Oryzias latipes: one gene and its partners. The protein of the gene in region 1 binds, or shares a complex with, the protein of each later gene. Links are inferred from orthologs where the notes say so. Each region holds a gene or a part of one and is shown on either strand. Other genes may lie near its edges. The genes, in order: prpf3, prpf4 and lsm4.

Region 1 (7,032 bases):
GCGGGTTACTTCTTCAGTATTTCTCTCAGGTATGTGGTAAAAAAGGAGGAAGATGAAATGTTTATGTGACTAAAAATGTTAAAATAAGCAAGAATATAGCTTGTTTGGAGTACTGTCATTTTGCCTGGGCCTCTGTGTTATCATTACTTTAATGTTCCTATTTATCTTCTCAACTAAACTATGAGCAGCTCCAGTAAATGTATTGTAAAAAATCAATTCTTTGTTGTTTAAACTGTGTCAGTTTTCCTTGATGTACTCCTCAAAGAAAATCCCCAAAACGTTTAAAAAGGATGAACAAAAAACAATAATTTTCAAAGTAAATATGTACACCTAATGAGCAGTATTTAAATGTATCGCTTTCTGGTTTTCATATAGATTAGAAGGGAACATATATTTAGTCTTTGTGTTGATATTGGAACTTTGGAGTACCTTTTACACATTAATTGTTGTATTTTTTCCATCTTGCATGGTTTGGGATTAACAGTATTGCAAATGTGTTTGTTACTTATTGATTTTATTTATGAAGTATGAATTTTTAGAGATAAATATTTATTTTAAAACCATGATACTTTCTTTCAGATCAAGCAGATGATGGAGGCTGCCACAAAACAAATAGAAGAAAGGAAGAAACAACTGAGCTTTTCTTCGGTCCCTTCTGCTGCAGTAATTGTTATGCACAATCATGAACAAAAATCAACAACAGTTTTTTGTCTCTAACTCAGTTTTCTTTTTAACCTTAAAGTCACAGTTGGATGGCTCACGGCTTCTGGGCGCCGCTGGTGCCTCATCTGTTGCCCCCTCGCAGGCTGCCAGCTTTATGAATGATGCTATTGAAAAAGCCCGCAAGGCAGCAGAGTTGCAGGCCCGCATTCAGTCCCAGTTATCTGTGAAGCCTGGTATCCTGGGAGCCTTGGGAAACACCGGACCTCACAACCTGGTAGCACTTGCTAATCTACATGCCATGGGAATTGCTCCACCGTGAGTAACTTGAAGATATCTAATTTATTGGGGGGAAAAACAATAGATTGTGTATTTGCTTTCTGGATACAAATAATCATTTGTATCTGTTTGTGAAACTGAAGTAAAGTGGAGATTAAGGAAGTGAACAAGCCAACACCCCTCATTCTTGATGAGAAGGGAAGAACTGTTGATGCCACTGGCAAAGAGGTTGAACTTACGCACCGCATGCCCACACTCAAAGGTAGGTCTTCTGGATCGGTGTGTAAATGTGTCTCATCATTACTGCGCTTTGACTTCATGGACCACTATTCCTTTTTTTGCAGCTAACATACGGGCGGTAAAGAGGGAACAGTTCCGTCAGCAACTGAAGGAGAAACCTAGTGATGATTTGGAGTCAACATCATACTTTGACAACCGTGTGCTCATTACGCCTGCCCAGCGCCTCCGCAGAGGCTTCAAATTTCATGAGCCCGGACGGTTTGAGAAGATTGCCCAGAGAGTTCGAACCAAGGTTGGTGAAAAGCTTGACATTATCATCTCAAGACCTTTGTTAATTATTCAGAAATACAATTTGGCAATTCAAAAACACCTTGTTTGATGCCTTTTGCATAAATGTCTTTGCCCATTAGGCCCAGTTGGAACGGCTTCAGAATGAGATTTCCCAGGCTGCTAAAAAGACAGGAATTCAGGCTTCCACCAAACTGGCATTGATTGCGCCTAGAAAGGAGATTGGAGATGGGGAAGTACCCAGTATTGAGTGGTGGGACTCCTTCATCTTGCCCTCCAACATAGTTTTGTAAGAAAAAAAACTTTAAAATGTTTTTGCAGTTTTTAAACCAATATGTTAACCTTATCTGTGCATTTCTTTTAGTTTGGTTAACTTTATTATTTTTTCCTATTTAGCAAACCGGAAACGAGGTTTGATAACGTGGAATTTTTTGGAGTAACAAACCTGGTAGAACACCCTACACAAATGAGACCTCCTGGTAAGTTTAGGTGGAAAAGAATGTGTTGAGAAATTACAGTTTCTGCCCTGTGATGTTGATAATAGACTGTTAACAGCTATTTGTCATGGATGTTTCGAGGATACGTCTTATATCCATAAGATTTTATGTGTGTTTTTCAGGAAAAAACAGGCAATTTATGAATTCCTTCACTATTCAGTGCATAGTTGTATTTATAGTTCGTTCGCCATTTTGCAGTGCTTTCAGAATCTACTATTTCAGAATCGAGTGCCCTAAATTTTTTTCCAGACGTCTCTGCAAAAAAACAGTGTGCATTGATGCTCACTAGATTGGCGAATATAGACCATAATGCATTGCGTTCGAACAATTTTGCGAAAAAAGTGTTTAGATGCATTTTTTTATAAATAAACAATCAATGTTTTCATTCTCAGTGGATTCATAAAAAGTCGTCATAAATTTAGATTTTCACTTCGTGAAATAGGTGATGTCATATTTGCTGTTTGCCTTTAAAGTCCAGGGCAATAGATTGTCCTGCACTATAAAGCTTTTTAATTGTAGTAATGAGGGAACTCTGACAAAGCCAGACAGAAAGCTTTACCGTAAAGTAAGTATCCTAGTCCAATAAACTTTTGAAAAGTGATTTGTTAACCACTAAATTAGAAAATTGTAGCTATATCTGATGAAATCCACTGTAACATGTCCTCAGCTAACATCCTGTTAGGCACCCCTTGCCAGACTTAATCCCAGTTTTGACTGTACAATATCTAAACTCTTCCTGTGGTCAAAACTGGTCTCTAAAGACATTTGTAAGGGATTTTTGTCTAAGTATTTTTTCTCTTTATCTGTAAACTTTAAAGTCTCAGACTGTTTTGAAGAACCATTCCAATTACCATTTTTCTGCCTCAGTGTCTTTAATGAATTTTTTTTATTATTGTGTGGAGGAACTTTTTTTTTGTCTTGAAATGGCAAACTTTGTATCAAGGAATGTTCCTGAGGAAACAAACATTTATTTATTATAGTAAATGCAGAGCAAAAAATTTGCCATCTCTAAGTTAAAAGTACACACATTTGTTTTTCTGTGTAATTTTTTTAATGCTTCTAGCTTCTTTCAAGGTTCTAGAATAAAATGTTTTATTTGACATGTTTGACAGAAAAAGCTCTGATTACATTCATTCCATTAATATTAGTTATATTCTTTACAACTGTTCTTCTTTTCCCAGTGGACACTGATAAACCAGTAACCCTGGGTGTGTATTTGACAAAGAAAGAACAGAAGAAACTAAGGAGACAAACGCGGAGGGAGGCACAAAAAGAATTGCAGGAAAAGGTCCGTCTTGGATTGATGCCACCACCGGAACCTAAAGGTACTTGCACACAAGTGAACATTGTTCTATGCCTGTAATCAGGTCAAGTAATGGTACATGATGATTTTTTTTGTACTTTTAAGTTCGTATCTCCAACTTGATGAGAGTCTTGGGGACGGAGGCGGTCCAGGACCCCACTAAAGTAGAGGCCCATGTGAGAGCACAGATGGCAAAAAGACAAAAGTAGGTGTTTTGTTACCGTGAGAATCCACAGAGACTCACATTTTTCTTAAGTGTTTTTCTAACAGCGACACTTTTTCAGAGCTCATGAGGAAGCCAATGCAGCTCGAAAGCTTTCAACAGAGCAAAGAAAAGAGAAGAAGGTCAAGAAGTTGAAAGAAGACCTCACTAACGGAGTTCACATTTCAGTGTACAGGTATGCATTTGAGGACGGGAACAGCAAATATATATATTTTTAAATATCTGTTTTCAAAGCTCTTTTTACACCTTGAAAACCAATATAAATGTTGTATCTTACAGAATCCGTAACCTGACAAATCCTGCAAAGAAGTTTAAGGTGGAGGCCAATGCAAACCAGCTGTACCTGACTGGAACAGTAGTTCTGCACAGAGATGTTAATCTTGTTGTTGTAGAGGGAGGTAAGGAAGAAATCTGTTTAAATTATATTGATGTCCTTTTATATTGATCTGCTGAAACTTAATAACACATTTATTGACATGTTTCAATTATTACTGTTTATATAGCCTTTCATTTACTGTTTAGAAGATTTCATTATAGAGAGAAAATACTGATTTTTTTTTTCAATTGAACCTCACTTGATCTGAACTGGGAAGAGAAAATGCCAGCAAATTCATATATGAAATGTAATAAAGAATCAATTGTCTCTTTCCCTTGAAGGCCCTAAATCCCAGAAAAAATTCAGGAAGTTGATGCTGCATAGAATCAAGTGGGAAGAACACAGTAGCAAAAGAGATGGTAAGATTACTGCTTTTGTATTGCTGCTATGGAAAAACGTCTTAATTGATTGCAAATTATAAAAAATAATAATCGCAAGTTTAAGAAATTATGTGTCTGAGATTTGCAGTTTATTTATACAGCTATGGGTAATTATCTTTTGTAGCTTTTAGTTTTCACCAACCACTGATAACGGTTCAAAAGTGGTTTATGTCAATTATCAGGACACAAGCTATTTCTACATACCGTACTATTGTTGGCTCAGTGTTTGCTTCAAATAAAATATGCTCACATTTTTCAAATCTTAGATCCAGATGTTGATGACACAAAGAGAAACAACAAGTGTTGGTTGATTTGGGAGGTGAGTGAACATGCATTTATTCTGTTTCCATTGCACATTTAGAACTTCTTTAGTCCATCCAAGTCTAATGGTTCCTTCTGCTTCCTTAGGGAACAGGTAAAGATCGAAGTTATGGAGAGATCAAGTTCAAGCAGTGTCCCACAGAGAGCATGGCCCGAGAACACTTCAAGAAGCACGGAACAGAACATTACTGGGACCTTGCCCTCAGCCATAGTGTGTTGGACGGCACCGATGATTGAAACCTTCGAGGGGAGAGATCTGTTTCAAATAAGGACTGCTACAGTCAAACCTGCAGACCTGCTGCCTCACAATAGCCAGAATTATCTATTGGCTGCTGAGGAGGAAGGAACAAAGACTCAATAAAGAGACTTCAACAGAAAATACGGGGCACATTAAACCTGTTTTTCTAAGAAAAAGTGAGCTCCTGTGTATACAAGGCAGTATATGTAGTTTTGCATTTAGTTGATTTCATTGGATGCAAGTCTGTCCTGTTTAGACCGACTGATTCCGACCTAAATCAGTCTGTTTCGGCTCATTTTCTGCTATAAAATCCTCAACTTAAATCATATTGTCTTTGTTGATTAGGAAGAATGTCCTAATGACAACACACTATCACTAAGTTGACCTTTTACTTTTTGAAGTTTATTTTTTGAAACCTTGCTTTTAGACACCTTTCACACAGTTACCGCATCATTTATTTTTTGACCCATCAGTGTGTTGACCCCCTATCCACAGAGGTTAGCCATGTTTCCTTGTAACATTTAAAACTGCCTTAATTAAAAAATGTGAAAAAAAGACTTCATCTTTGATTTTGTTTGCTAACCGCTTCAATTGCCTGGGTCATTTCATAAGTTTTTAGCCCAAATAAAAAAAAAAAATACCGAGTTAAAATATTGGTGTGTAGGTTGGTATTTTTATGGCATGAAGTTAATACATATGTAATGACTCGCGGGGGGCGTGGTCTCCCCTGCGTTGCCTTGTCTTCCATCACGCCTTCGCCCTCGTCCCTATCATTAGTTGATAGAGCTTGAAATATGGCGGCCGGTTCCGAGGCTGCGAGCGGCCAGGGAGCTCGCAGCTCCACCGCTGCATTGGAAGCGTCGTTGGACCGCCGGTTTCAGGCAGTGTCTAACACCATGGAGTCGATACAAGGACTCTCAAGCTGGTGCATTGAAAACAAGAAACATTACAGCCTTATTGTTCGCTATTGGATGAAGTGGCTAAAGAAATGTGAGTAGTTTCTCGCTGAAGCTAACTGCTAGCCTGTAGCCAGCATATTTAAGCTGAGTCAAATGCATTTAGGAAAGAATTTTGCAAAACCCTGCTGTGGTTCGGTTATGCTTTATGTGCAGAACCCCAAAACGGGGGTTGTGTAGAATAAAAATTGAGTTTCGCAATTGTATTGAGCCGAAGTGTTGGCGTCGTTGTCTTTGCAAATTAGCCGCTAATATTAGCTAAGCTAGCGATTCGTCGTTAACAGTGTTTACAGTTAGGCCTTCCATTATGTGAAGCCCGTATTGGATAATGGCTCCATCGTAATACCTACGTCGAAAATACATAATCAAAATAAAATAAAAAATAAGACTAGGTTTTAGTTAAATGACTTGAACTCAGGATTTTCAAGTACGTTTTTCGTCCATCAGTGACTGAGTGACAGTGCCCATTTCTGTTTAGCACAGATTAAACTTTTACATTTTTATGCAAAATGGGAATTATTTCTTCGATGGTAGTTTATGCAAAATAGGCCGCTGTCATGTATTTTAATATTTGTTTAGTATATTTTCTGTATCAGAATCAAAGAATTTACATTTCTGTTCACACTGTCTTGTCTTCTTGATACATGATGATAAAACGCTACTGCCAAATAATGAATCAAAAGTACTTGTAAAGTGAATAAAGACCCACTCCAATGAAAATAGTCTGATGGATATATATTTACATTTGTGAATCAGAAGTAGACGAAAAAAGTGCCATCTGAAAAAGCTTGTAATGTGACAGGTGCTACAATTGGCAGACCAGAAGCTCCCTGCTCTGCTCCATTCTAGTGCATCAACTCGTAAACAAATGGATCCATGTACATCTTCCTTTTCCTCATCTGAGCTAGCACGAGGCTCACAAATGTACGGCTAGATGTAGTATTTTTGTTGCACTGCTGTTAGGCGAGGGTTGTAAGCTAGCTGGAGTTAGTGTAAACAATGAAATCATGGGAAAGTCCGAGACAAATTTCTAATGACATACTGCTGCTCTGCAGAAACTATGTTCTAAAAAACTACAGGTTTTTTTGGATGGGCCAAAAAACGGAATAATCATAATTAAAAGAACACTGGGAACACTTTTTAAAATGGATCAAAAGACAATTTGACTTTAAAGTGGGACTTTAAAGTTATTTTTATTTATCTTTATGTGATTAAAGAACAGCAGCTGACCCAGAGGGAGAGATCCCAATCGAGAAAGCCCCGGAAATATA
Region 2 (7,291 bases), on another chromosome or scaffold:
ATTGGAGTAATATGACATTTAGTTAGACAAATATGTTAAAAAAAAAATTCATTCATTCATTCATTTTCTTAACCGTTTTTCCCGTTCGGGGTCACGGGGTTGCCGTAGCCTCTCCCGGCCACTTGTGGGCGAAGGCAGGGGACAACCTGGACAGGTCGCCAGTTTGTCGCAGGGTAAACATTTGTCTTGTAAATTTGAGTTGTATAAACATCTGAGTTGGATAGACGTACGAAATTAGGTTGAATAATTGAACTCAAATAAATTACTACTATTGGTAAAAAGTAATTAAGTTGGATAAGTTATATACAGGGCTCCAGACTGCGAGCAATTGGTCGCATTTTGCGACCAAAATTTGAGAGTGTGCGACTGAATTTTACATCCAGTCGCACATGTGCGAGCAGTAAATTTGCCTCCCCCACCCTTCGTATTTTTTTATACATTAAACGTGAAAGGGGCACGTCAATGATCAATGAAATAATCAATGAGACGCGAGCGCACACGGAAGCAGGCAGACACACACACTCGCGCACATACTCATGAAACGCGAGCACGTACACTCTCGCGTGATGCCCGTGTGTGAGGCGGCCCTGCGTGTGAGAAGAATAGGGAAAGCCACTGTGAGTGGCTAAAATGCGTGTAGGGGGAGGGGCCTAGAGATAATCGAGTGCGCGTAAACATCTGTGGGAAGGAAACGGAGACAAATATCACAACCTGATATGTGCGTCTGAGCTATGGGTAAGCGAACTATTGATTCGTTCTTCCGACCTGCGGCTAGTGTACCAGTGCCAGAGTGTACAGCAGGGGTCTCAAACTCACGGCCCGCGGGCTATTTGCGGCCCCCAAGATGATATTTTGGGGTCCCCGCCTTAATATGAAGGTTTAATGTTACTGCAGCCCGCCAGTTTGTATGAATGACACATTTTCATTGTCGTGCGCGGAGCTGACCAACCAATCACAGTGGGGTATACGACTCTTGGGGGCGTGACAATGACAGGGCTTGAAAGCAGGACACCTGACAGCCCCCTCCCCAGACCACATTAAGGAGTTCCTTACTGTCCTTTAGAACGGATTTATTCGCTCGTAATTTTCTAAATACATGCAGTCCGTGCTGAACTTTTCTCTGGGTCACACAGACCCGGAGGAAGGTTTAGGTTTTGGTTACGGTTACGGCGGCGCATCAAACGGTTTATGCACGGCTGTCAAGGCAGCTCACCGCTCCCGCGGGAGTCGGGTCAGCTGAGGAGAATAAATGTCCCACACCTACATGCGTGACAGCTAACGGGGCTTGAACTTTAAACACGCTCGAGCAAAAACAACATTAGTTTTAGACACACTGAAAATACGTGGGGAAAATGCAACGATAGACGTGTTTGAGATGAACATCGCCTGGATCGTTGGGGAGACCAGGCGGGGGGGGCTGTGAGATGAAGGCGAATCTGCAGCAAGACTGAAGGAGAACAGGAAATTGGAGTTGTCCTTAACATTCAATTTAGTTTTAATATTCTTCTCCCCCTTAGTATGATCTGTGTTATTATATATTTTATGATTATTTTAATATTTTGTGATGTATGTAGCCTTTTTTTAATGAATTGGTATTTTAAATTATTTTAATTAATCACTCCACTACAAAAACCATCAGGACACATGTCCCATAATGCATTATTTTGTAGTCATCTGGGCAGCTTTCAGTCAGTGCAGTACTAAATTTCCAGCTGCGTTCGCTCAGGTTGGGGCCTTGCTCCCGCCCCTTTCTCGTGATATTTTTGTTTTGATTGACAGTTGATGTTGGAGCAAAAACAAAAATATATGTCACACACCAGGTGATCTGCGCAGCGTTGAGTCCACCTGGGTGATCTCAAACATGCTTATTGTGCATCTTGGCTGCACCTATTTGGTGTCACAAAGATAAATTTCCCTCCGTTTTCTTTACTTATTTGTACTGTCATGACAGTGATGGTGCTGTCAGTTTACCTTCTTGTTGCATCTTCAAAAGTGCAGAATAAAATGTGACACTGAATTTGAAACAGCACATTGTAATTTCTGCATCTATTATTAAAGTATTTATTAGTAATACAGTGGAAATTAGTAGATTGGGTTAGAATGTTGATTTACGGTATGCGCCCCTAAATTTTCTGGTTGTGCCCCTAAAATTTTCAGTTGGGGGCCACAGTGCTCCCAGTGAAAAAAGTTAGTCTGGAGCCCTGTATATATATGCGTCACAAGGAAAATAGAAATAAGATCAGAAACTCGTGCGTTTACTTTGTCTGTTCTTTTCTCCAAGCAGAAACTCTCTTTTGCTGATGATGCAGCCGTGTTACTTTATTGATGGACGTATAATCTTCATACGCCGTCATTTAAATGTCCGAATCCGTCTTACTGAAGTACAGCTCTCTCTCTTTTTTTCTCCACACGTTTCCATGGTGACTCCAGAAATCGGCGATCCATTGAGAATGTTTTTATGTACCTGCTGTGCACGTGCATTAACCCAGGGTTACCAAGTGGAGCGTAATTATGCTAACTCATATCCGGTCTGTTGGAACCGACATACCCAGAGTAAGCAAGTTCAGGTGGATTTCAGCCAGAGTTCAGGGTTAAAGTCAGGGGAGTTTAAACATGACTTCTGGAATACCCCCCTGGTCTCTGTGGGGGTTTACTCAGGAACCTCTGGTTGGATCAGATCTTCAGACTCCCACAAAGAGGGGGTCAGAAGTCTACAGTGTTTGACCTCAAAGTCACAAGCTACTCCAAAATATCATTTTAAAGAACAAGCTCTGTTTCTTTTACATAAATTATGGGACACTAGAACTTAAGCTCATCTCTGGTTCTGTGGGTTTGGGCTATTCTGGAATTGAAGACGCCCTGTGACTACACCCAGCAATAAGAACCATACCATTTCTCCACTGAACCTCAGGTCTGAATCCAGCAGCCAAAACAGCGCCCCCTAGGGAGCAAAGTGGACGTACTTTGCTGATTATCTGACACACCTAACCACGAAACGTGAAAGGTTCTAGTTTGATGCTCCACTGGTTCCAGTTCAGTCAAAGGGTCTTAAAAGAATGAGGATGCTCTGGGTCACACGGATCAGTTTGTGTAAGGTTTTGGTTGACAACCACCTGTTTCTGTCATGACAGCCAGCTGTACAGAATCTCTGATTCGGAGGAAAGCCACGAGCTCTGCTCCGTCTGCAAGGAACCCAAGACCTGGAGATGAGCTCCGGACGTTTGACCTCCTTTCTGGACATCCATTCAGCAAATAAACAAACACCACGTGATCTGCAGTTTTACTTCTGGTTAGCAACAAATTAGGTTCGTCACGCGCTTTTACCAGTGAGCTTACCTTGAACGAGTGGGTAAAACGCGCGCTCGCGGAGCTCCACGACCTGTTGTTGAGACACAAGACGCGCGTATCCAGGTTTTTCCGGTGAACCGGAAGTAGTAGGTTGACCCGGAAGCGGTTACAGCACATATATCCGGATCATTTAGCGCGTGGAGGCAGCTTTGTCGGATTAAGGTGAGTTTACGAAAAAAGTAACGAAGCTGTAGCAGCAAAAACAGTTAAGGACTAGCACGCGCTCACAGCATCTAATTTATTCCTCCGCCGCACGCGCTTTCAATCAGCCACAGATTCCCCCGCGTGGATCGGAACCGGTTCCACTGCAGAAATTGGTTGGAGGTTCTAACTGTTGTGCAGCTTCGCCTGCAAAAAGGGTGATGGAGGGAAGAAATGTTCAGTGTTTAGTAGATGACGTCATTAGTACAGACTGAATGTCCGTTTGCCTCAAGAAACGCAAAACAAAGAAAAGACGTAAGAATAGGCTGGCATTTACGATAGGACAGGTATAAAACATCAAATTACCAAGGATAGAAGATTAAAACTACTGTCGACTAAAATGCTTCATCGTTTAAAAAGGCGACCGTACCAAAATCTCCAAATAGGGGAGGAGCATCTGAAAGAAACAGAGAAGTTCAGCCGGCTAACAAGGAATATTGTGTTTTTGTTTTTCATTTAACTTTATTTGTTTTTAATTAACTTTATTCATTTCGTAGACAAATGCAAACAAAGGGAGTCAAACGTACACATGTTAACATAAAATGATGGATTCCTAGAGAAGAAAATAATAGAATAACTGAATATGATAGAGCTTATTGATGCTAACAGATGTGAAGAATTTATGTCATGTTTACATTTTATTTCTAAGTATCACTTCGGGTTTGCTGTTGGGGACTTAGCTGAATATAGAATTTAGCAAAAAATTAATATTTTTATTAAAATATGAATCCTTTTTGTCCTGATTAAAATGATAGAAATCGAAAATAACATTCTCATAAGGGTGAAAATCAGTGCAGATCAAGTCAGTGATCGTCTTTTAGAGAAGGAGGCCAGGCGTCAATCGAGAGGGTCGGAGGGTCCTGTCCCGGGTAATTATGAAAAGCAGACCCGTTATGTACATTTTCAAGGCATCGTTTCAGATGATTTGAAACCACCAGGGGGGTATTCCAGAAAGCAGGTTATGCTAGCTCCCACGGTAAGTTTGAGGCTAAGGAAGTGGATAACCTCAGCTTTCTGTTCCAGAAATGGAGGTATGTTTCAGGGTAGGTCAAGTTGCCATAGCAACTCATGCTCTGAACATAACCTGGTCAGGAGCAGGTTTAGTTGAAGGTTAGTTTGTTTTTCAGAGATGTGAAGCAGCATGGCGTGTCCATTTGAAGATGATTTAGTGGATGAAGAAGCTCAGATAATACTTTTTCCACCATGAGAGGATGATAAGACCACATATGGATGTTGGAAAGAGAAACTTTATACTTTCATCTAACTTAATTATTTGCTTAAGTTAAGATGAATCTTTTTTGGAGTTCAGTCAGCTTAAAAATAACACGTAGTTATCAGACATTTATTTTACTTTCATTCAAATTGATTCAATGAAGTAGGTGTAACTTTGGTGCTGCTGTTAGATCTGCACCGCAAGGAATTGTGGGATACCATTCCCTTTGCCTGTCTGGACGGATTTGGGTTTAAGTGTGGGTTTTTGACCAAATGTGTTTAGTTTAGCTGTTTTACTGTGTTTTGTCTAGTTATTTTGTCCTGTTATGTTTAATTCTTTCTGCACCATGAGTGAGAGGGAGGAAGAGGCGGATGAGTTTATTTAGCACCACTAGTGCGCGTTTCCATGGTGACTCCAGAAATCGGCGGTCCATTGAGAATGTCTTTATGTACATGCCGTGCACGTGCATTTACCCAGGGTTACCAAGTGGAACGTAATTACGCTAACTCGTATCCGGACTTTTGGAACCGACATACCCAGAGTAAGCAAGTTCAGGTGGATTTCAGCCAGAGTTCAGGGTTAAAGTCAGGGGAGTTTAAACATGACTTCTGGAATACCCCCCAGGTGCAGAGATTGGGTTCACTTCTACTCTGTTGACGGCTACATTTTCTTCTGACCTGCGGGTTTACGACACAATTTCCAAACTCATCTCCAGAGTAAATATAAACATGTGAGCGGTGGAGGCGATGCGGCTCAATGGCTGCGGGCCGTTATCGTGTTGTGGGGATGGCTTTATAATAATAATTGTTATGAACATTCATCGTCTCCGCCTTGTTCTCACTGTCCACTTCTGTCTTGATTCACACTTGAGTTGCTCCTTTTTGGTCTCCTGAACAAAATCCGTAATAAACTGCATCTGGTCCAGAATTCCACTGCCCATATTGTCTCCAGAACTCCAACCTTTGATCACCCCCCCCCCCCCCCCTTCCTCCAGCAATTGCACTGGCGTCCAATTCAATTCAGACTCCTCCTCTTCCTCACCTTCAAATCCCTCCATAACCTGGCCCCTGTTTACCTCTGAGCTCCTCCAAGTTGACGCCTCCTCTCGTTTTCTCCGGTCCTCTTTTTTTCTCCAGCTTTCTCACATTGTTTTTTTATCCTATTTTTCTAAATGTATTTTTATTCTTGTTTTTACTGCTATGTACAGTGACCTTGTGTGTCAAGAAAGGCGTGTGTCATCAAATTATTATATGCAATTCTTAAGATGGAAAAATTGATATTAAAATATAAAAGGAAAAATTCTACTAAATTTGGTCAAAATTCATCAAATCCATTCAGAGCAGGCTTCTAATGAATTCCACTGTCTATTTGATGTCTGCATTTAATGTCTCCACCTTATACTTAAATTTAAGTGAAATGAAATTAAACCATTGGGTGTTTTTGCTGATATTTGTTCTCAGTCTGTTATGATATTTCAACTTATGGACAACAGAAGAAAACGTGTCAAGGATCCTCTGAAGTAGGCCTGCACAATATACCGCAAATTTATCGTTATCGCAACATTAAGCTGTGCAATATGCATACCGCAAAAGACGGCGAAAATCGCAATAAATGGTTACCTCAAATGTACAAAAACAAACTCATGGCAGCTTGAAATATTGAACACATGAAATGAATCCCTTTATGCATTTAACCAATCGGAAGGACCCGTTTATGTTGTTGATCAATCAGATGAGCCCTTATATGTTTGATGTTTGCCTCCTACGTCAACAAGGGTCATTTGGATTATAATTTTTAAACTGTTGTAGTGAAATGGAAATTATTTTTTGGTTGTTTTGCTATTTGTTTATATACCGCAAATTATATCGTTATCGCAATATTAATCACCAATATCGCATATCGCGAGTGTTCCTCATATCGTGCAGCCCTACTCTGAAGTACAGTAAACCCTTGTTTTTCGCGGGGGTTACGTTCCAAAAAGAACCCGTGATAGGCAAAACCGTGAAGTAGAAACCTTTATTTTTTTTACAATTATCATACAATTAAATCCTCTATTATACATTGAAAAGAAAGAACAAACCATTTTACAGGCTCAAGCATTTGTTTAACAAATAAAGGTACTTTAGAAACGTTTTTTTCAACAAATAACTTCTATACTGTTCTGTCAAATAAAATTTTAATCATCAATGTGAACAGAAGGCGTCAAATCGCGGAGATTAGCCCCGCCCACCGCGACCCGAGTAATTTGATTAAACGGGAGAAAATTTAAAATGGTTATGAAAAAAAATACAAAGTACAGTGGGACAAATAGTGACTCAGGTGTATTTCACTGCTCTTCAGTCTGAGCCGCTGCATCCTGATGGGTTTAAGAGAAACTCGAAATTGCAAGAGAATTTGCACGACGTAATGTTAATTTGGCAAGCTGTTGTAGGTATGTGGACATATTAAACTGCAACGTTATTGATGCACAGGTAGAGAAGAAGCGGAGTGACTTTTTGGCCAATCAGAATGCAGAACACAATGCACGAT
Region 3 (7,291 bases), on another chromosome or scaffold:
GCATCACCGGCCAAGAGTCGGCTTCATCCTCATACCTCGCTAGAGAAGAGACAGAAAGTGTGCGGATGGGGGAGCATCAGCGATCACCGTGGCAACACAAGCAGAGTGACGCAGGTAGGAGCAGCAGAAAGGAAGATAGGTGCCGATTGGCTACCAGCAGCAGTAGCCTGTTCACATAGAGTGGGCGGTAAAGAGAAGGAAAACTCGGCACTGAGATTATCCACAACACTGCAGCGCATAAAGACTCACAGTCAGATTGCATAGTTAATTAGAAGATGCCTGCAAACATGATATACACCCTATAACATGCTTTTTGAAGCAATTTAGTTGAAAATACATGTCCCTATTTGATAACTTGAATTTGAATGTATGTCTTGTGGGAGATAATTATTGAGCACATTTATTGAACATTTGATTTTAATTTATACATTTTATTTAGTTGGTCAACCTAGTTTCCATTGATTTTTTTAAAAGATGCTTTTGCTTTAAGAATTCACTGTCAAATTTGAGGCTTTTAAGTCCTAACTCCCTTTCAATGACTAAAGAGGTACACGTGAGGATCTTTGGTACCTGTTTACTTCTATTATGTGTACTAAATTACATAGAAAAAAGATCAAATGCACTAAATTGCAGCTGCAGTTTAAATAGAGCTGTTGGATTTTTCTTATAGTTGGGTGCAATCACCATTAAATCCCCATTTTCAGCTGTCACATATCAAAATGTCTGCCATGCAAAATCTTTATTAAAGCATTTTATTTAATGGACAATGAAAATGAAAAAGAAGAAAAAACACTCAACTGTGCACCAGCTAATGCTGCCCTCTAGTGGCCACAGCTTAAAGCTGTCGTGTCTCAACTCCAACCTCCATCTAACCCTTGTGCCATCCTAGGCACGTTAACATTGGGAGGGGGTCATCTAGACCCCACAAGACAGCGCGCTAAATCTTTTTTTTTCAATGATTTGTGATCTTCACTAGTGTCCATGGATTACATTAAATCCTCTTCACCTTTATCCACTTTATCCGCTCCAACTTCAGCCTCCTTTTATCAATATTATCAGTCCTTCCTCTCAATGTGTCCAAACCGTCTCAATCTATTTCCCTTCTTATCTCCAGAACATGAGCTGTTCCTCTGATGAATTCATTCCTGATCCTCGTCACTCCTAAGGAAAACCTCAACATCTCTAGCTCTGCCTCCTGTCTCTCTCTCAGAGACACCATCTCTACACCACCACCAACTGCTCTCACCTGCTGTCTTGACTGACATTTTTTTCCCCACACTTCACACCTGGGACTTTCCTCTTTTTGTTCCAACCTGCTTGGACACACGTCTTCATCTCTCCCACTATCTTGAAAAATGTTGTTCTGAACCTTTCACTAAGAATTTAAAGTCCACCACCTTCTCCGCCTGTGCCTGGTAACCTTAATATTCTACTTCGTTTCTTCTCATTTACACAGATGGTCTGTCTTGTGGTGGTTGACCTTCATTCTTCTTCTCTCCAGAGTAAACCTCCACCTCTTTAGATATTTCTCCACCTTAAAATTGCACCATTTTAAGTTTTACAGATTTTAATTATAGTACTTTTTCTGCATGATCATGCATAATTTCAAAGCCCAATTTTTCGCAAGGAAAACTAAATGTCAGAATTTCTTAAATTAGCTTGCAAGTAATAGGGAAGACTAAAATAAATCTCAGCCATTTATTTGAATCATAAATCTATCAGTTATTAAATTTATGTAACAAAATGTGTGTATCATATTTAACTTGTGGTCTTAACTCTCCAAAATGAAAATGTTCTTGATTGTAAAAAAATAAAAAAGCTTTAAATCTTTATCTTAAAAATCAAGCAAAACAGCAGCTAATTCCAAATATTTTCTTTTCATGAGCCTGAACTTGTGTTGATGCTTTAAATAGGATACAGGACATGCTAAACAGGAACAGAGGTCTTTACACTCTGCAATCAAATAGTAATTTTACTATAACAATTTCAGTGCTTCATTTCTTCAAACTGATCTTTAAACAAAAAGTTTCAGGTGTAACAAACTTTTGGGGCAGTTCCCTAAAAATGAAGACTATTTTATACATACATGGTCTTTAACAAAAACTGCTTTATTGTTTCTCATGTCATTACAATAATATTCATCACTATAAAAATAAAGAGTTTTTCAAACAAAAATTCTTATGGTCAAATCGTGTCACTTATCTGTGACTGGATGTCAGCTGACTATCAGCTTAGATTGGCTAATGAGGAGTGAAAGACAGAAACAAACCCACACCAACCATGTCACTCAACAACTAGAATAGAAATGAAGAGAATTCTGGGGCTGGAATATTGTCTATCATGAAATCTACCCCTAAAGAAAAAGACATCCAAATATAAACAATTTGACACTTCCAATTGTACCAACAGATTACTTTTGTGACTAAAAAGGGGTTTTCATGACAAAATATTCTTCTTGAAAGAAAAGAAAAAAAGAAAAAGTATCAGCTCTTGGGTTTTACACAAACATGGTTATTCTTAAAAACCTAAAAAGAAAACTCAGTGCAAAACCACTGCCTCTTTTGAACATCTCAGTGACCTTTTGCAGCGATTGGTTCTCTTACATATCACATATCAGCAAAAAAAGGAGCTGAGAGTTAAATTATCCACAAGTACTGAAACAAAAATAACAGTTAATGTGATGTGAAAGATCCATGACATCACATCAGTGCTGGTTCTTCATTCCCTGCTGTTTGCTTGGTTTTTTATCCGGCTGCTGTGGCTGCTGGCCTCGACCAGGACCTGACATCCCTCTGCCGCGGCTGCCAAACACACCTACATACAGACACAAAAAATGTCAAATTCAGCAAGTTAGAATAATAAATTCCTAAACAAATAAAGATGATGTTTCACCAGATGTGTTTAAAAGCTTTAACAGAGGGATTTTTTACTTATTTTAAGCTGATCTAAGTCTCATTAAGGCAAATCATGACAGAACAAATGCAGAAGTTGCTTCCTCTCACCTCGGCCGGCTCCGCCTCTTCCTTTACCCTGCTGCTTATTCTGCTGGGCACCTCCACGTCCACGACCCTTAGAAACCACCTCATCCTTCACCATGTCAATAATCTCATCTGGAATTCGCAGATACTTGATGGTACTTCCCCTGATGTAGCACTCTGGCATCCTCCAAAACTTATCACCATCCTGTGGGAAAAAGACCAAACGATGAGTGTAACCAGTATACTTCAAAGGGTCTATGCTAAATCCCTTTTTTGAACTTCCCGGTGTATTATAAAGAAACCTCAAACCAGTATTGACCCATTCACGCATTTCTGAGAATTCCTCTAAAAACCTGTGCTCCAGGAACCAGCCACACCTAACCCACAAAAACAAGCGGGTTCTCACGAGCTGATGTAGATAAGTGAGAACAGCCCCTTCCAGGAAGAGTCTGCGCTGCCAGCCCCGCCCCCAGGCTAAAACACACACTCCATGAAGCTAGTGGTGTTTGGCAAAACTCTCTTTACATGCTCAATATGCACATTCATCTTTACGAAAGTTTGAATGTTGTTTGTTTCGTGGGCGAGACACAGACATGTTGTTGATGCTGGCTATAGGTTGACATCATGGAAGTGCCGGTGCCTCAGATCCAGTCGTCTTGCTTCCAGGTTGGAAAATAACTCAGGAAAATAACTAATATTCATTCATCATTTTTTAATTCATCTTCTAAACCCGCTTTGTCCCTTTTGGGGTCACTGGGCTGCCGGGGCCTATCCCAGCTACTCATGGGTGAAGGCAGGGGGCTTCCTGGACAGGACACCAGTCTGTCACAGGTCCACAAATCACTCACCCATGCACACTTGCATTCACACTTATGGACAATTTAAGGTAACCAATTAACCTACGAAGGTGGGAGTCCCCGGAGAAAACCCACGTATGCACGGGGAGAACATGCAAACTCCACACAGACAGGTTCTTTTTCAGGTCCCCCAGCCAAGTCTTGGACCTGGCTGGGCTTGCAGTTGGCTGGGGGACCAACAGCAACCAAGTCCCCAAAACTTGGCTGGGGGATCTTGCGCTAACCACTGCGCCACGTAACTAATATTTAATTTAAAAAATCTTTCTTTTGTGGGCCAAAGGTAATATATATATGGATATTCTTTACCATGAATGGTTTAGGAATAGCATGGTACAGGGCCTTTAACAATAATCAGTCCTTTTTCTTCTAACAAAAAAAATTAGCGTTGAGGTTTTTGTTCCAACATGTATCAAAGGATGTTTTACTAAAACCATTGCTTCATTATACATTAGTCTTTATATTTTAAAGGCTCACTTCAATTATCTTTTGATCTATTCCCAGTATTTTGATTTTGTTTTTTTTCATTATGCAGCTTTAAGCCAAAATGAAAAACTTGTCTTGTTTTCTAGGACAGTTTCTGCAGAGTGACAGAAGTTCATTAGAAATATACCTAAAAAAGCCTGCCGCATTTTCCAAGGTCCCTTTGTTTCCACTCTCCTGCTAGCTTACACACCCTCATACCCCCAATCTAACACCAAGTGCAAGAAAATTGGTGGGGAATGTTGAAGCTATACAGACGTACAGTTTAAAGCCAGATGCCAGCTCAGACGAGGAAAACCAAGACGTAAATGGATCTAATTGCCTACAAACTTTCTTTATATATGTCCGTCATTATGAGAAAAATGCCACAAAACATGTTAAAAACCAAACCAAACAAATACACTATTTTAATTGGGGTGGGTCTTTAAACGGCTAAGGTAGTCAGAATGAAAACTGAAGGAAACAGGTAAGCGACTGTTAAATTTAAGCTAATTTTTTTTATTTAAGGTGTGCAGTTTATGGATCGTTCTCCACTGAGAACATGAGAGCAAATCTGTTACCCTGGATGTGCAGATGACTTCTCTCAAGTTGATGTTCATCCAGTTGTCACAGCTAACCAGATGACCGTTGTAGGTTTCTCCATTCTTCAGTTCAACCAGCTGAAAAAAATCAAAGTTCATTGAAAAAAAGGTCAGCTGGTGATTATGGTTTTCTAAAAGGTTCTTTCTTTATTCAAAAAGAAATGCACAAAAATTATTGTTTAAAGAAAAACATGCAAACAATCTCAATAACAAAACAAAAAACCTGATCTTAAAACCACAAGTAACTGAATAAAATGGTTTAACCAGTAATCACCAGATAAGGAATAGAAGGAGGAAAGAAAAGCAATTATTTCTTACCATAGGATGGTTCTGGGCCGTCTTCAAAAGGGACAAGGGAAGCTGCGAAATAGTAGAAATGGGTCCGATTTATGATCTCTATGATATATTAAAATAATGCATTCTAAAAGGAATATTGATTCAGAAATGAAGAACACGTCTGAATGTATTTCTGTGTCGGCGGAGAAACTTAAGCTCTGTTCCGAACTATAATGATTCGTTTGTGTTTAGTTTAGTACTAAACGTGTATCTGAAATGGTGACCCCCCCCCCTTATATATTTATATAGAAAATAATTTTAAAAAGAACCACTTGTATAGTCAGCGTTCCACAAGCAGAAAACAATTTAGCATTGGTTGCTAGCGTAGCTTAGCCTTGATTTGCGATGTTTAAACCAGTTACATGGGATTTTTGAAGCCAAAGAACAGGTCAGTATTTTTATATAGTGTGTGATTTTTACAAAATAGTCCATTTGTAAGTAATAACTTACCATTCTGGTAGGTTATGTTTGTGCTGCCTTAGATTAGCAACACGATTTTTACTCGCAGACTCTTCTTCGTTTTCTACGTACTCGGTGCCACGTCTTATTAAAACATGACTGCCCCCTAGCGCAAAACATGCGCAAACACAGGAGCATTTTCTTTTGTTCTTTTACTGTGACGAAATTCAAAAATAAATACAGAGGACCAAGTGTAACATCTATCTATCAAACACAGGAGCATTTTCTTTTGTTCTTTTACTGTGACGAAATTCAAAAATAAATACAGAGGACCAAGTGTAACATCTATCTATCTATCTATCTATCTATCTATCTATCTATCTATCTATCTATCTATCTATCTATCTATCTATCTATCTATCTATCTATCTATCTATCTATCTATCTATCTATCTATCTATCTATCTATCTATCTATCTATCTATCTATCTATCTATCTATCTATCTATCTATCTATCTATCTATCTATCTATCTATCTATCTATCTATCTATCTATCTATCTATCTATCTATCTATCTATCCATCCATCTATCTATCCATCCATCCATCCATCCATCCATCCATCCATCCATCCATCCATCCATCCATCCATCCATCCATCCATCTATCTATCTATCTATCTATCTATCTATCTATCTATCTATCTATCTATCTATCTATCTATCTATCTATCTATCTATCTATCTATCTATCTATCTATCTATCTATCTATCTATCTATCTATCTATCTATCTATCTATCTATCTATCTATACACAAACATTTCCTTCAAAGCATAAAACCGCTTAATAATATCTTATAGCAAAATCCTGTGTCTCAAATTTCAGATTGTACCATTGCTGATTAGTTCGCATTAGGTATGAGTGTCTAGACTAAACATAATACAGTAATTTTTTCTTCATTTTCAGTGAAATGCATTTTTATTCCTTAAATTAGTACAGAATAAAATTAAAAAAAATAATGATGATAAAATGAGGATAATAGAGAAGAAAGAGAAGAATAATATTGAATAGATCACTGCCACAACTCCTTGTATTATAAAAAAGGAAAAGCTGGAATTTTGTTGCGTGTACATGTGACACAGTGACAATAAAATAAGTCTATTCTATTCTATTCTGTTCTATTCTATTTTATGATTAAGGTCTGTCTGGTTTTGGTAAAGTCTAAATAAATGTGACAGTGGTTTAAAAAATAATAATTTTTTTCATTACCAAATGGATTCATGTAATTGAATTACGTGAATCCTTATATAATTTGACCAACACGTTCATATTTTTGCTGGTGCAATTTTTGCAACAACTAATTTATAGCTTGGTACTTAATTAAAGTCTTATTTTATGATAAAACACAGGCAAGACAATTGGTTGTATTAAAATAGGATATTTGTGTAGTTTTTATTTATTTATTTTTTCTTTTTGTTTTTTCCCTAAGTTGACATTTCTCAGCCACCGTAGCCGTCATTCCGTTGATGGCGTCATTACGTTGGGTTTGACGCAGCGTGCAGGATGAGAGAGAACGGCAGGTTTCTTTTGATTGTGGGAGAAGGAGTCGTCAGCTGTGAGGGTCTCCGGCTGTTTAAGAGGATCTGTTTCGGCGTACA

What was found.
Region 2: prpf3 (region 1) and prpf4 share a complex: the UniProt entries of both Homo sapiens proteins name them as parts of the precatalytic spliceosome. The link is inferred for Oryzias latipes from reciprocal best matches to the Homo sapiens genes PRPF3 and PRPF4.
Region 3: prpf3 (region 1) and lsm4 share a complex: the UniProt entries of both Homo sapiens proteins name them as parts of the precatalytic spliceosome. The link is inferred for Oryzias latipes from reciprocal best matches to the Homo sapiens genes PRPF3 and LSM4.

Annotation. Positions count from the first base shown.
Region 1 is NC_019874.2:18,951,958-18,958,989, forward strand, and holds the end of prpf3 (U4/U6 small nuclear ribonucleoprotein Prp3), read left to right. Parts: intron 1-579; coding exon 580-663; intron 664-742; coding exon 743-978; intron 979-1,082; coding exon 1,083-1,201; intron 1,202-1,283; coding exon 1,284-1,471; intron 1,472-1,589; coding exon 1,590-1,756; intron 1,757-1,863; coding exon 1,864-1,946; intron 1,947-3,145; coding exon 3,146-3,289; intron 3,290-3,372; coding exon 3,373-3,472; intron 3,473-3,551; coding exon 3,552-3,665; intron 3,666-3,769; coding exon 3,770-3,888; intron 3,889-4,147; coding exon 4,148-4,225; intron 4,226-4,512; coding exon 4,513-4,565; intron 4,566-4,654; coding exon 4,655-4,804; 3' UTR 4,805-5,362; downstream 5,363-7,032. UniProt on the Homo sapiens protein: Plays a role in pre-mRNA splicing as component of the U4/U6-U5 tri-snRNP complex that is involved in spliceosome assembly, and as component of the precatalytic spliceosome (spliceosome B complex).
Region 2 is NC_019870.2:1,978-9,268, forward strand, and holds the start of prpf4 (U4/U6 small nuclear ribonucleoprotein Prp4), read left to right. Parts: upstream 1-3,417; 5' UTR 3,418-3,510; intron 3,511-7,291. UniProt on the Homo sapiens protein: Plays a role in pre-mRNA splicing as component of the U4/U6-U5 tri-snRNP complex that is involved in spliceosome assembly, and as component of the precatalytic spliceosome (spliceosome B complex).
Region 3 is NC_019862.2:13,831,496-13,838,786, forward strand, and holds lsm4 (U6 snRNA-associated Sm-like protein LSm4), read right to left. Parts: upstream 5,806-7,291; 5' UTR 5,686-5,805; coding exon 5,683-5,685; intron 5,257-5,682; coding exon 5,215-5,256; intron 4,975-5,214; coding exon 4,876-4,974; intron 3,184-4,875; coding exon 3,003-3,183; intron 2,815-3,002; coding exon 2,705-2,814; 3' UTR 2,088-2,704; downstream 1-2,087. UniProt on the Homo sapiens protein: Plays a role in pre-mRNA splicing as component of the U4/U6-U5 tri-snRNP complex that is involved in spliceosome assembly, and as component of the precatalytic spliceosome (spliceosome B complex).